3 linked regions of the Tribolium castaneum genome follow. Each later gene encodes a partner of the first gene's protein in a complex. Links are inferred from orthologs where the notes say so. Each region holds a gene or a part of one and is shown in the gene's direction. Other genes may lie near its edges.

What was found.
Region 2: Cdk8 (region 1) and CycC share a complex: the UniProt entries of both Drosophila melanogaster proteins name them as parts of the cdk8 module of the Mediator complex. The link is inferred for Tribolium castaneum from reciprocal best matches to the Drosophila melanogaster genes Cdk8 and CycC.
Region 3: Cdk8 (region 1) and skd share a complex: the UniProt entries of both Drosophila melanogaster proteins name them as parts of the cdk8 module of the Mediator complex. The link is inferred for Tribolium castaneum from reciprocal best matches to the Drosophila melanogaster genes Cdk8 and skd.

The regions. Positions count from the first base shown.
Region 1 is NC_087397.1:11,468,050-11,471,948, reverse strand, and holds Cdk8 (cyclin-dependent kinase 8), read left to right. Parts: upstream 1-1,535; 5' UTR 1,536-1,710; coding exon 1,711-1,929; intron 1,930-1,975; coding exon 1,976-2,631; intron 2,632-2,694; coding exon 2,695-2,876; intron 2,877-2,925; coding exon 2,926-3,185; intron 3,186-3,231; coding exon 3,232-3,327; 3' UTR 3,328-3,366; downstream 3,367-3,899. Other genes in the region: eRF1 (eukaryotic peptide chain release factor subunit 1), read right to left, coding at 659-834, 912-997; RpS30 (ubiquitin-like FUBI-ribosomal protein eS30 fusion protein), read left to right, coding at 3,653-3,727, 3,779-3,899. UniProt on the Drosophila melanogaster protein: Component of the Mediator complex, a coactivator involved in regulated gene transcription of nearly all RNA polymerase II-dependent genes.
Region 2 is NC_087394.1:8,425,845-8,430,151, reverse strand, and holds the start of CycC (cyclin-C), read left to right. Parts: upstream 1-1,418; 5' UTR 1,419-1,547; coding exon 1,548-1,579; intron 1,580-1,630; coding exon 1,631-1,737; intron 1,738-1,786; coding exon 1,787-1,993; intron 1,994-3,833; coding exon 3,834-4,288; 3' UTR 4,289-4,307. Other genes in the region: leucine-rich repeat-containing protein 1, read right to left, coding at 561-1,063. UniProt on the Drosophila melanogaster protein: Component of the Mediator complex, a coactivator involved in regulated gene transcription of nearly all RNA polymerase II-dependent genes.
Region 3 is NC_087399.1:1,816,262-1,820,354, forward strand, and holds the start of skd (mediator of RNA polymerase II transcription subunit 13), read left to right. Parts: upstream 1-1,207; 5' UTR 1,208-1,279; coding exon 1,280-1,348; intron 1,349-4,093. Other genes in the region: uncharacterized protein mRpL50, read right to left, coding at 178-302, 354-676, 825-979. UniProt on the Drosophila melanogaster protein: Component of the Mediator complex, a coactivator involved in the regulated transcription of nearly all RNA polymerase II-dependent genes.

The DNA.
Region 1 (3,899 bases):
GTTAAACAAAACCAAGAATTTTTAATGTACACTGTCTAATTTTAATATATATTTTATTTTAATAAATAAAACCACTCTGAATAACTGTCTTATAGTTCGAAACTATTGAAGCTAGCGAAAAATTTCAGGTACTGACTGAACGGACTGTAAAATCTATAAATGGCTGTTTCAAAACTATAAAACATTGCATTTTCTCTCAGAATTAGCTAAATAAATAAATAAATTACTCATGCACTTCATATAATTAATAGCTAATGTAATTTATATTTTTAATGAGAGACCTAATTATTAATAAGTATTTTACAATTGTATCAACCTTATTTAAAAAATAATTCGGTAAAATGGGACGTTGGCGTTTTTATAGTTTTGAAACAGCTAATAGTTGGATCGGAAATGACAACTGAATGAGTAAAGATTTTTCAATTTGTTTTAAATTAGCGGGATTCACCACTTAATTAATTGGTAGCAATTTATTTTTGCAATCTCAGCTTGGAAAATTAGGGTTTACCTAAAGCGGATATCATGCAATCTAAGTGATCATGAAAGGCTCGTTTTTAAAATAATAAACTGTACAAAGTATGCATTTTTAATTATAAACGATTGCTCAACGCTGGTATTTTGGTAGGGTGTGTCACAGGCTGGGGCTCCTCGCGCTTACCTTTTGTGTAGAGTTTGAGGCGATGCTGGACTGAGGTGATAGCCCCCAAGACTGACAATCTGTTAACTCTCGACTTGATATTGGAGGCTGTGCCGAATTCATCAGCTAACATTTTGCTAACTCTCGAGATTTGATCTTTGGGCGGTATAATTAACGAAATCATGCTGGTTCCATTGCTGCAAAAGGCCAAAAAAACCGTTTACTTGAAACTCGTGGGCATATGTTGAAGGATTTCTAACCACGTTGCACTTACCCTCTCGCCAGTTCCAAACTTTTGATCAGTTTCTTTATTTTCCAGATTTCTACATTACGGTCGGCTGAAGTCTCCTCTCCTGACATTTCTGCTGGATTTCGTATGAACTAAAAATACGAAAAATGTGACCCGATGCAAAATGGCGCGGTCTCCAATGCCGACGAACTACTTGATTGAGTCACTTTTCACTGGTTATGCAGGTAACTTAACCACTTTAACTGGTTATAACCAGAAATGCGCGACCCGGAGACTTGGTTAGTGCGGGAAAAAATATTCCAGTCACTCACATGCCGAAACAAAGGGAATCACAAAATAAAACTGGCAGGTGACAGCCTCTCGCAGAAGGAAATTCGAAAAGGACCCTACGATTTCCCAACTTTCCGACCGGAATTTCCCATTTATTCAATCAAACTGGGGGAATTTCGACACGCCACGTTGCCCAACCCGACCTCGGGACCACAAAATCATAATTATTTCAAATAATTGATACTTCTTCTGCTTGATTCGACAAACTTCCACGTATTGATTGCAATTAATTATTAAATTAACAGTAGATATTTAAAAATTAAATTTCATTTTTTCTTTAGTTTGTGCGTTGTTTTTGCGCATGCTCGTCGCGGTTAGACATTTGACAAGACGTTGACGTTTGTCAAAAACAAATTTTGATTAATTATTATTATTTACAAACATTCCTGTTCTTCCCAATAGTGAAGTGCAAATTTGTTAGGGAATCACCGGTGTTATCATATAAACTTGGCACTTCTCGCGAAGTGCTCTAATTTCTGATCAATTGAATATTATGACAACTCTCATGATGGACTACGAATTTAAAATGAAGACTCAGAATGAGCGGGTAAAGGTGGAGGATTTGTTCGATTACGAAGGTTGTAAGGTAGGTCGGGGCACGTACGGCCATGTGTATAAAGGGCGGCGGAAAGACGGGTCGGACAATCGAGACTATGCCCTAAAACAGATCGAGGGGACAGGACTATCCATGTCAGCATGCAGAGAAATAGCGGTAAAAATCGCGTGCTGTATTATTAATAAACCTTATTGCCTTATAGCTTTTAAGGGAATTGAAACACCCAAACGTTATCACGTTAATTAGAGTCTTTTTATCTCACAATGATAGAAAAGTGTGGCTTTTATTCGACTTCGCCGAACACGACCTGTGGCACATTATTAAATTTCACAGAGCCGCTAAAGCTAATAAGAAGCCAGTCATGGTCCCTAAAGGAATGGTGAAGTCATTGCTTTACCAAATTTTAGACGGAATTCATTATTTGCACTCAAATTGGGTGTTACACAGGGACTTAAAACCGGCTAATATTCTGGTTATGGGTGAAGGGCCGGAGAGAGGACGTGTTAAAATCGCAGATATGGGTTTTGCGAGACTTTTTAACGCACCATTGAAACCTCTAGCTGATTTGGACCCCGTTGTGGTCACTTTTTGGTACCGAGCGCCAGAATTATTGCTCGGAGCTCGCCATTACACGAAAGCAATTGATATTTGGGCCATTGGATGCATTTTTGCCGAACTGTTGACCTCAGAACCAATTTTTCATTGTCGGCAAGAAGACATCAAAACCAGCAATCCGTACCATCATGACCAGTTAGACAGGATTTTTAACGTTATGGGATTCCCCCTTGAAAAGGACTGGGAAGATATCAAAAAAATGCCCGAACATCCCACACTAGTTAAAGATTTTAAAAAACAAAGGTACAGACAATGGAAATTAAATTGTTGCCAATTAATTTTTGTCATTTTGTTAATCTTTTCCAGCTATATCAACTGTTCGTTAGTAAAATACATGGATAGACATAAGATTAAACCTGACAGTAAAGCGTTTCACTTATTACAAAAGTTATTATTAATGGACCCAAATAAACGAATTACTTCAGAACAAGCGATGCAAGATGCCTACTTTTCTGAAGACCCTCTACCTACGCAGGACGTTTTCGCGGGTCAGTTTAACAAATTTCTCAAATAAAAAAAAACAATAAATAATCACAGGTTGTCCAATCCCATATCCCAAGCGCGAATTTTTGACTGATGACGATCAGGAAGAGAAGGCTGAAAGTAAGCAACGTCAAAACCAGCAGCAACAGCAACAACAACAACAGCAGCAATCCCAGCAACAGCAACAACAGCAGCAGCAGCAACAACAACAGCAATCCCAACAGCAACAATCTGGAAATGGGGATAATCACGGGAATCCCTCAAAACGTGTGAGATTGTCGGGGAATGCCCATCCCGGCCAAGTCAATCCACAAGTAGGGTTTCTCTGATTTAAGTGGCAAAGTAATGACTGATTTTTAGGCTATTCCAATATCGCAACAACAGGAGTTTCATCAGCAGCAGATGATGTATAATAACGGGTCGCAACAACAACAGAATTTTCAACAAAGATTTTAAATTTAGGTTTAAGACATTAATAAATTTCTATAAATCGTATCGAGCGCTTTTTATTTAGGGATTTTAGTTTCTGACTATCATTTCCGTTTCCTCGAATCCGCCATTTTGAATTCCTTTTGTCAAATTAGTGCTTGCGGTAGGTATGTTTTTCCGTTTTATATCAAATTTTTATGACTTTTGGGTCAAAAATTGAAGATTGGGGTCGTACTATGTGTGCGGTTGTTGTCCCTTTGAATAAAATTAGTGCTAGTCGAGACTTAAGCGCTTGTAAAAATCACCATGTGATGCAATAAAAATTGTTTTTTCTCTTCCAGAACCGAGCAAAATGCAGTTGTGCTTTCGCGGACTATCAACGCACGTGCTTGAGTGCCAGAGCAATGAGACCATTGCTGAAATCAAGGTAATTTTATCAAAGTGTGAGGTTATGTTCTCTCCAAGTGGTCAATTTTAGGATCGCATTGCGGCTTTGGAAAACCTGAACAGCAGCGAAATCAGTCTCTACGCCAGCGGTGTTCCCGTGGCCGATGCCAGTTTGGTGTCAGAATTCGAAAATACTGATATTGAGTTGACTG
Region 2 (4,307 bases), on another chromosome or scaffold:
TTTATGTGGATTTTTTTTTATTAATAGGCATCATGAAATTATATAATATTTAATTGTATCTGTTTTTTTAGAAAGTTTACACAGTAGGCGCTAGTAGATAAGTAATTAATCTCACGAGAATAATAGTTATTTATTATACAAGACGATAAAATCTGATTTTAACTATGAGAAGGTTTTGAGAAGATAATGGTGCATTTTATCGTGTAAAATACAAAATTTTATTTCTCCTCCATTTTTTTCGATTATTTCGAATTACTGAGTTATTTTGATTAACAATTATAAACATTAAGAAATTTAACAATAAAAAATACTTTAAAAACAACAATAGTTGCGAACTATATTTTTCTAGGCGACAAAATTCCGTTTTACCATAAAGTAGACAGTGGATAAAATACGATTTTATCCAACCAAAAGCATTAACACACTCGGCTTCGCCTCGTACTACTTTTTCGTTGATAAAATTCGACCTTGTTTCACAAGAGAGTGGAATAAAGTAAAAATAATTTGTCGATTTTTCGAAAACTAAAATTCTTTAATTTTTGGGTAAGTGTCATACTTACCTCAGTTGCACTAAATTACAGATTCCATCTGGTAACTTTGTTAACAGGTTATGCCGAGCCCCCAAGGTTTCCAACTTTGTTAAATTACCAATTTCTTCAGGTAAAGACTCCAGATAGCAACGGTTACACCATAATGTTTCTAACGAAGTTAAATTTCCAATATCTCTAGTCAAGTCTTTAATCGGATTATGGCTTATGTTTAGAGTAATCAACTGAGGCAAATCCTTGAGTACTTCAGGGAAACGATCGAAGTTATTGTACTCCAGAGACAAATTTTGCAAATTCTTGAGCTGTCCGAGACACTTGGGCAGTTCAGTGATTTGATTATGACCAATGTTTAGATATGAGAGGTGGACACAGCTCACCAACAAGGGGGGAAATTTGACAAGGTCGTAATCATCTAGCGCTAAATTCGTTGCTTTAGTTCCATGAGCTTTTTCTATTTTTGCCAAAACCCGGTTTCGCTGAATGTAATCGTACACTGGATTCATTTTTGGAAGCATTTAGAGGTTATGTCGCACAAACTCACTGATTATTTACACAACTTGTACACAAGCACACATTTTTGAATAAATAAGAATCCAAAAAAGAAAACTGGGGGCCCGAGCCCCTACACCATTCCCAACACAAAAAAACACACAAACAATAATTTGTTTGTTGTCACAAGTGGCGCTTTGACATTTGAAGTAGTTCAAATCAACCAAACATTTTCGTATCATATGGTTCGAACGAAACAAACAATAAATAAAATAAATAACAAAACTGAAAAATTAGCGTTCGTTTGTACTTAATTTTAGTATTCTAAGGTCTACAGTTTTAATAAAAGAGGTCGTAGGTTAAAAAACACCACAGTAGTTCCATTGGTTGACACTTGTCACTTGACTGAGTTTCTTTGACCGGTTTCTTTTGCTTTTGTGTTAATTAATAATTGACTGGAAGCTTAAAGTTATTGCCTGTGATTTAATTCAACTCAGATTAGTTTGTGCAATGGCTGGAAATTTTTGGCAAAGCTCACACCAGTAAGTTACGATATGAAAACGGCCCCAAAATCACAAATGAATTTTTTCCAGCCAGCAGTGGCTTTTGGACAAACAAGATTTAATTAGGGAGCGCCAACATGATCTCCAACTCCTCACGGAGGAGGAGTACCAAAAAATATTTATATTTTTTGCTAGCGGTATTATTTATATTAGGTTATTATCAACTCTCTTAATTTATTTTTTCAGTCATTCAAACACTAGGCGAACAGTTGAAGCTACGCCAGCAAGTTATAGCAACCGCAACGGTTTATTTTAAGAGGTTTTATGCAAAAAACTCACTTAAGTGCATCGATCCGTTATTGTTAGCCCCCACTTGCATTTTTCTAGCCTCCAAAGTAGAAGAATTTGGGGTGATTTCCAATTCTAGGTTAATTACAACGTGTCAGACAGTCAGTAAGTTAAGTCACAGTCTCCGTGATGGTCTTAGATGGCTGGTCTAAAAGTTACCAGATATAATTTTCCCAAGTTTTTGTTAAAAAAATTACCGAAAAGCATCCAACTTCGGAACTACGGATATCTAAAAGTTAGGATATGGTACGACGTACAAATAAAACGTTCCTGTCCTTGATATTTCCGTTAATGCCGCCAGAGAACGCTGTTGTTCCATTACCAAGGTTTTCAGAGCAATAAATTTGAAAAAATGGTTGTATTTGTATAACGGTTAACACACAGCAAACAAAAAAAATACAGGCAAATAGAGCATTAAATTCTCAATAGTAGGACATAAACATAATGCAAAAATTTTATCATAAACTATATTTAAAAAAATTTCAAACTTTTACCAATTTGCACTCTGTCCCATAATTTTCAAAACGCTGCGAATACGGTTACAGATATAAATAAGTATATACTATTTTTATTCGAGGGACAAAAATTGGATAAATAAGTCACGTCGAATTTTTTTGAACTTAGGGATCAAATTTTATAAACAGAAACTCTTGAAAAGATTAAAAATATATTACCGGACAATCGTTTAATTTTTTGAGATAAATTGCTCCAAAACTAAAATTAAAAATGTCTATTTAATGAAGTATTGTTTATTATTAATTGACTGATCCAGAAATACTGTCTGTTGACAATACTGAATTAAAATTTTAAATGTTCAAAATTAATTGAAATTTGGTATATGCCTGAAAGTAAATTTATTCATCGAATTATTTGTTTAAAAAAAATTTCCATTTGTTCTGGGAATATTAAGACTAGCTAGTCTCATTGGTGAACCCAAAAGTCAAATTTAATATTTTTAATTATTTATTAATTTAATTTAATTTATTATGTAAAAAAAATATCGCACTAAAAAAATTGGTCAGCTTTGTAAATCTTGTCTTTATCTAAAGATAGCTCGTTGCCGCCTCAACTTTTACCAAAAAATAAGTAAAAGTTAATAATAATTGAAAGAGAACACATTTAATAAAAAAATGAGTTGTATTAATACTTATTAGCGCCACTGTATTTATAAGCATTGGTTGTTCTTCGTTAATTTATATGCTAATATCTAGCTTTCAAGTGTTCAATTTTCTCTAATAAATGTTTTTTTGTAGTTACGACTTTTTTGCTTAGTAACTTCAGCAATTTTTTTATTTCAATTGTTTTAAATTGAAAAATAGCGCTCTAAAAAGATGTCTATAAAATTGCGTATCAATTTAATTTTTTTCATTAAAGTTCAAAAGCATATAACATAAAGGTGCGATTTAAAGAAAATTTAAGAATCACGAAATAACTTAAAAATACGTAAAAGTAGTTACAAGGTTTTTGTTTAGCAGGTCAGTTTAATTCTCTACAAATTTCTTCCTAACATTTTTCTGTATCTTTAATTGTATTCGCAGCGTCTTCTTAAAGCACAAATTAAATAAAAAAATTCTCATGTTTGTCATGAAACTTGTAGTCGTCAGTCTTTCTTAGTCTGTTAAGAGTGCAAAACATTTCTACATTTTTTCCACGTTATTAATGAATTGGTTGGTTTTAAATTAATTTAAAACGATTTGGCGACAAGACGGTATAACGCTCGTAGCGCCCTCAGTTTTACTCTGCCGTACTATTTTTGGTCTCCTAACTTATAGTCCTCCGTATTCAGAACATACCACTCAACAGGGCGACCTCTCGCGGTTATTTAATTAATTACAGTTTAAAAATCCAAAAATTAATATTATATTCTGTCGTTAATAATTTCAAAGCCGTCTAAGATCGAAGGAGGCTAAGTTAAAACTAGCTTTTTTAAACAATCTATTTTCAGTTAAAAATAAGTTTAGTTACGCCTATAGTCAGGAATTTCCATATCGTACGAACCACATCCTAGAGTGTGAATTCTACTTGTTAGAAAACCTCGACTGTTGCTTGATCGTCTATCAGCCTTATAGACCTCTCTTACAACTAGTGCAAGACATGGGTCAAGAAGATCAACTTTTGACTCTCGCCTGGAGGATAGTGAACGATTCTCTTAGGACTGATGTGTGTTTGCTTTATCCACCATATCAAATTGCAATTGGCTGTCTTCAAATAGCTTGTGTCATCTTGCAAAAGGACCACAAGGCTTGGTTTGCCGAACTGAACGTGGACATAGAACGAATTCAAGAAATTGCAAGATACGTTATTAATTTATTCGAGCTGTGGAAGACTTACGACGAGAAGAAAGAAATTCAAGGACTGTTGAATAAAATGCCTAAACCAAAACCTGCCCCTCAAAGATAGAAATCGGACGATTTCTACG
Region 3 (4,093 bases), on another chromosome or scaffold:
GGTTTTTGTTGAAAAGTAATGCATAGAAAATAGAAAATTAGAAGGCTGGGCAAGAAAATTTGAGTTAAAAAGTCACACATATTAAAATGGTTATTTCGTGAGCTGTTGGTGGCATATGTGTCAGGGGTACAGAGAGAATATTTTTTTCTAAAATTCTTTATTCAACAAAAACTACATTTACGAAGTGAAGGGCCACTCTTGCCGTTCCGTGTGGCCTTTATATTTATTTTTATACTTCAAGCCTGTGACTAGTGTCGATTCCCGGTTAAAGGCCGTTTGCCCCTTGAACAGCTTATCAGTATCTGTAAAAAGTGTCAATTAATTTTGAAATTTGTTCAGTCTTGAGTTTGTACCTGGATGGAATCGGTAATATTCGTATTGAACATGCAAATTTTCCGGCAACTCCATGTTGCGCATTTTATCCAAGGGGGTAACGTCGTCAACAGTCGTTTGGTAGAAGTTCCTAACATCATTTAAAGTTTGAACCGAGTGCAAAACTGAATTCGGAATGGCTCTGTTGAATTCCTTGGCACAGGCCGCGCACAAATCGAATTTCTGCGCGAGGCTCCCGATCCTGGTGCCGCCGTCCGTGGCCCCCATAACCTCCCGAAAAATGTGGTCCAGCCTCTCGTTGGCATCCTCCGGTGGCGTGTACGCCTCGTAGGGCCTCAGGAAGCTGCAAATGTTTTGAAATATTAACAATTTGCAATTCACGGCGCGCAGTATCGAATTTATCGAGCGTCGGGTGGCGCGCCCTCGCGTCAGCGGGGCGAAGCGCCACGTCTCCCCTCAGTCCAGCGCGAACGCACACCCGGTTCACACACCCTTTCGCGGCGAGAGACTGTTGCGCAGCGTATATTTTCGGGGGCTGCTTCCTGTCGATGCCCTTCTTCTTCTCGGCCTTGGTGGCGAAGCGGTGCACTAGGGCCCCAAACGGGGGCCGCTTCAGGAGGCCGCCATGCCTCATCAGCGCCGCCATCGCAGTCGACTAGATCGGCGCGAGTCGGCGCGCTAAGACCTGCCGCCGGCCGTCGGCCCTCTCCGGCGCGTGCGCAGCCCACGCGACGTGTGTCGCCGCTTGGAGCGGACGCTCAAACTGTGAAATGTCTCGGCTCTTGTTGAATTAGTGTGGCTTGTTGTTTCCTATCCGCCATTTTGCATTGCGTTCGAAAGGTGAAAATCGAGGTAAATGGTGGCTTAATTGGGGCCCCAACGCGCCAGTGAGTGCAGTGGAAAGTTCAAGTGTCGTGGGTGCTAAATCGCCGAGAATGGAGCAGGCATGACGCACCCAAATTTTCAAACCAACGGGGCCAGTTTAGAGGATTGCCACACTAACTTCTTCGCTCTGGTGAGTCCCCGGCAGCCCCCTGCCCGATGACACTGCGACAGTGTTTACGTTCGCCGGACTTTCCCCGCCGCTGTGACATAATTATCAACAGTTCCCCCTCCCTTTGAGGGCATTTTCCGGACATGCCCTGCGTTTTCGCAGCGTTTTGCGCGAATTTTCCGAAAAGACAAGACAATTTCTTTTGCATTTCGTGTGAACGAACGCGAGGCGCTGTTGCCGCGCTTGCACGTAACGGTCCCGATTCTGCTCGTGCCTTTCTAGGGCGGGCATGTGCGCCCCAATGCCCGCCCGGGAACGTGCCCGCGGGGCCCAAAGCGTCCCGAGACGGCCCCCAGGCATGTTCCGCATGCCTTCGCTCCGAGATATTTGACATTGACGTATGTGGGCTGCCAAGTGGCAACGTCGCGCCGAAGCGGCTAGTGACAGGCGTACAGTCTATGGTAAAACGCAGCTGATTAACAGGCCAGCCTACATTTTTAATAATAAACTGGACTATTTTTTCGAAAACGGGGTAAAACCCCTCGGGACTGGACGATTTTTCGGGGGATAACCCACTTCGGGTGTTTGTTTTGCCGCAATCAGTTCCGCTTTACTTTTAGAAAGTTTGCTTAATGGCTGAAGAAATCACAGATTAATTAGAGTTCGTTATTCTAACATAACCTAATTGTGTTTTGACACGTTTGTGTTGGCGCGATTTTCGAAATTGACGACGCCCCTGGTCTCTTGTCGATATCCTCGTTAGACAAGAGGTTAAACACATCGACCTTGAGCTTATCGTGTTATTATCGCAAGACTTTGTTTCAAACACATCGGGAGAAGTGGACAAGCACTTTGCAACACAACTGAACTAAATAAACAAAATTGCGATCGCTTTACATGTTTTCCAGAACCGTAATGTTCAACAAGTTGGTTCCTTATCAGGTGTATAAACAAGCGACACATTTGTTTATCACTTTGACTCTTTCTTTAATATCTGGGAATGGCATTTAAATGGCGAAAGATTCCGTTGTGTTACGTCACCGATAACATTGATATCTTATCGGAGTGCATTTTCGTGAAGAAATCTACAAGTGGTCTATAATTCCGTATTCCTAACCCCCGTGCGTGAATTCATTGGGTTATCTCGAACCTCTGTATTTTTTTAACGTATTGTTGGTAAATAGCCGAGATAAGAAAAAATGACCTTGATGGGGCTCTGGATTTGGCTCAAATCGCCGCAGGGAAGGCCACTCAATTTATTACTAATCCGCAGACAAATTCAATAAGACAATTAACTGTACCACTTTAGTCGTCAAACAAATTCGGTATTTTTAGATGTTTTGTGCTTTGAGAAATTAAATATTTTCAAACGTAATTATGTCGTGCTGATTCCGGAAAGAAAACGTAAATAAATGGAAGGAAATGGTGTGATGAATGAGCTCAGTTTTTTGGACTGTCTGACAAGAACGCGACATTTCCGTTGTTTGAAAGAAATTTTTCTGCACGTTTTAGCACTAGTTGCATGATTTTTCCATGACGAATTATTACAATTTTAAGTACGATAAATATTTGTCCGATTTTACTGTCGGCAGTTTTATTCTTGAAAAAATACAAGAAGTGCCGTCAGGACGCCGCCTCCGTGTCAGAAAAATAAATCGTTTTACTGCCATATTCGATAAATTAATATTTACTACACAGAGTGTTAAGTTTATGTGTGACTTTTATTACAACTTGCTATAAATTTCGGGTGTTAATATCGCGTTGCATACCTTTCAGTAACGAAAATGTCGAACGTAAAAATGTGTGTTACAATAATCATGATATTACGACCTTATCGAACTGGGTCATTCGAGCGAGATTTTTCCATTTGTTTTTGTAAATCAAGGAAAACTGAAGGAAAAGTTGCGGCGCGGAAAATAAATGGCGTACACATTTAATTTCAATAACGGTTTTGAAATTAATTAGTTTGGAAGCTGGAAGCTCAAAAAAGTATAACATTTCGGAAAAATCACAAGTATTATTGTTGAAACGTAAACGTTTACTAGTCTTGTAAAATAATTATTTCTTGATATTCTGTTCTATAATTTATTTATTTACACATTATCTAAAAATCCAATTTTTTAAAATTTTTAATCGAGTTCGTATCGGAATACAGTGAAATCTCTCTTAACGGACACCTCCTATAAGCGGCATCCTCTAACAAAGGAACATTTTGTTGGCTCCGTTTTATGTATTTTATTGTATTGCTTTTCTTTTAAGGGGACTCTCTAATAAACGGACGCGGACAATTCAGTTCGGATCATTGAAAACAAAATCTCTCTTTTAAGCGGACAGCCTGTCACACGCACGTGTGTTATTATTAGTTGTTCAGAGAATCATAAGCGGGTAGTACATGTTTTATTTTTCTCAGAAAAGGTTTTACAGTTATGCGGTGTCTAAAAAACTAAACTAAAAAAGCGTGTGCTAATAATAAAAGAAAAAAAACATAAATTCTGAGTTTACTGAAAACAAAAGAAAAAAGAAAGAAATAGGATGAACCTAAGCAGCAAATATTGTTCAATTAACTTATAAAAGCGCATAATAAAAATATTTTGGTTTCTGGATTAATTGTCGGTATGCAACTAAAGTGTTTGAAAGATATTGAAAAAAAAAAGGTTTTAATGCATCTGAAGAATGGCTAGAAAAATCTTGAATTTGTTACAAAAGTTTTAAGTACATTTTTGGTGAATCTGCGAGAGTTTTTTTTATAAATAGTTGATAAATACG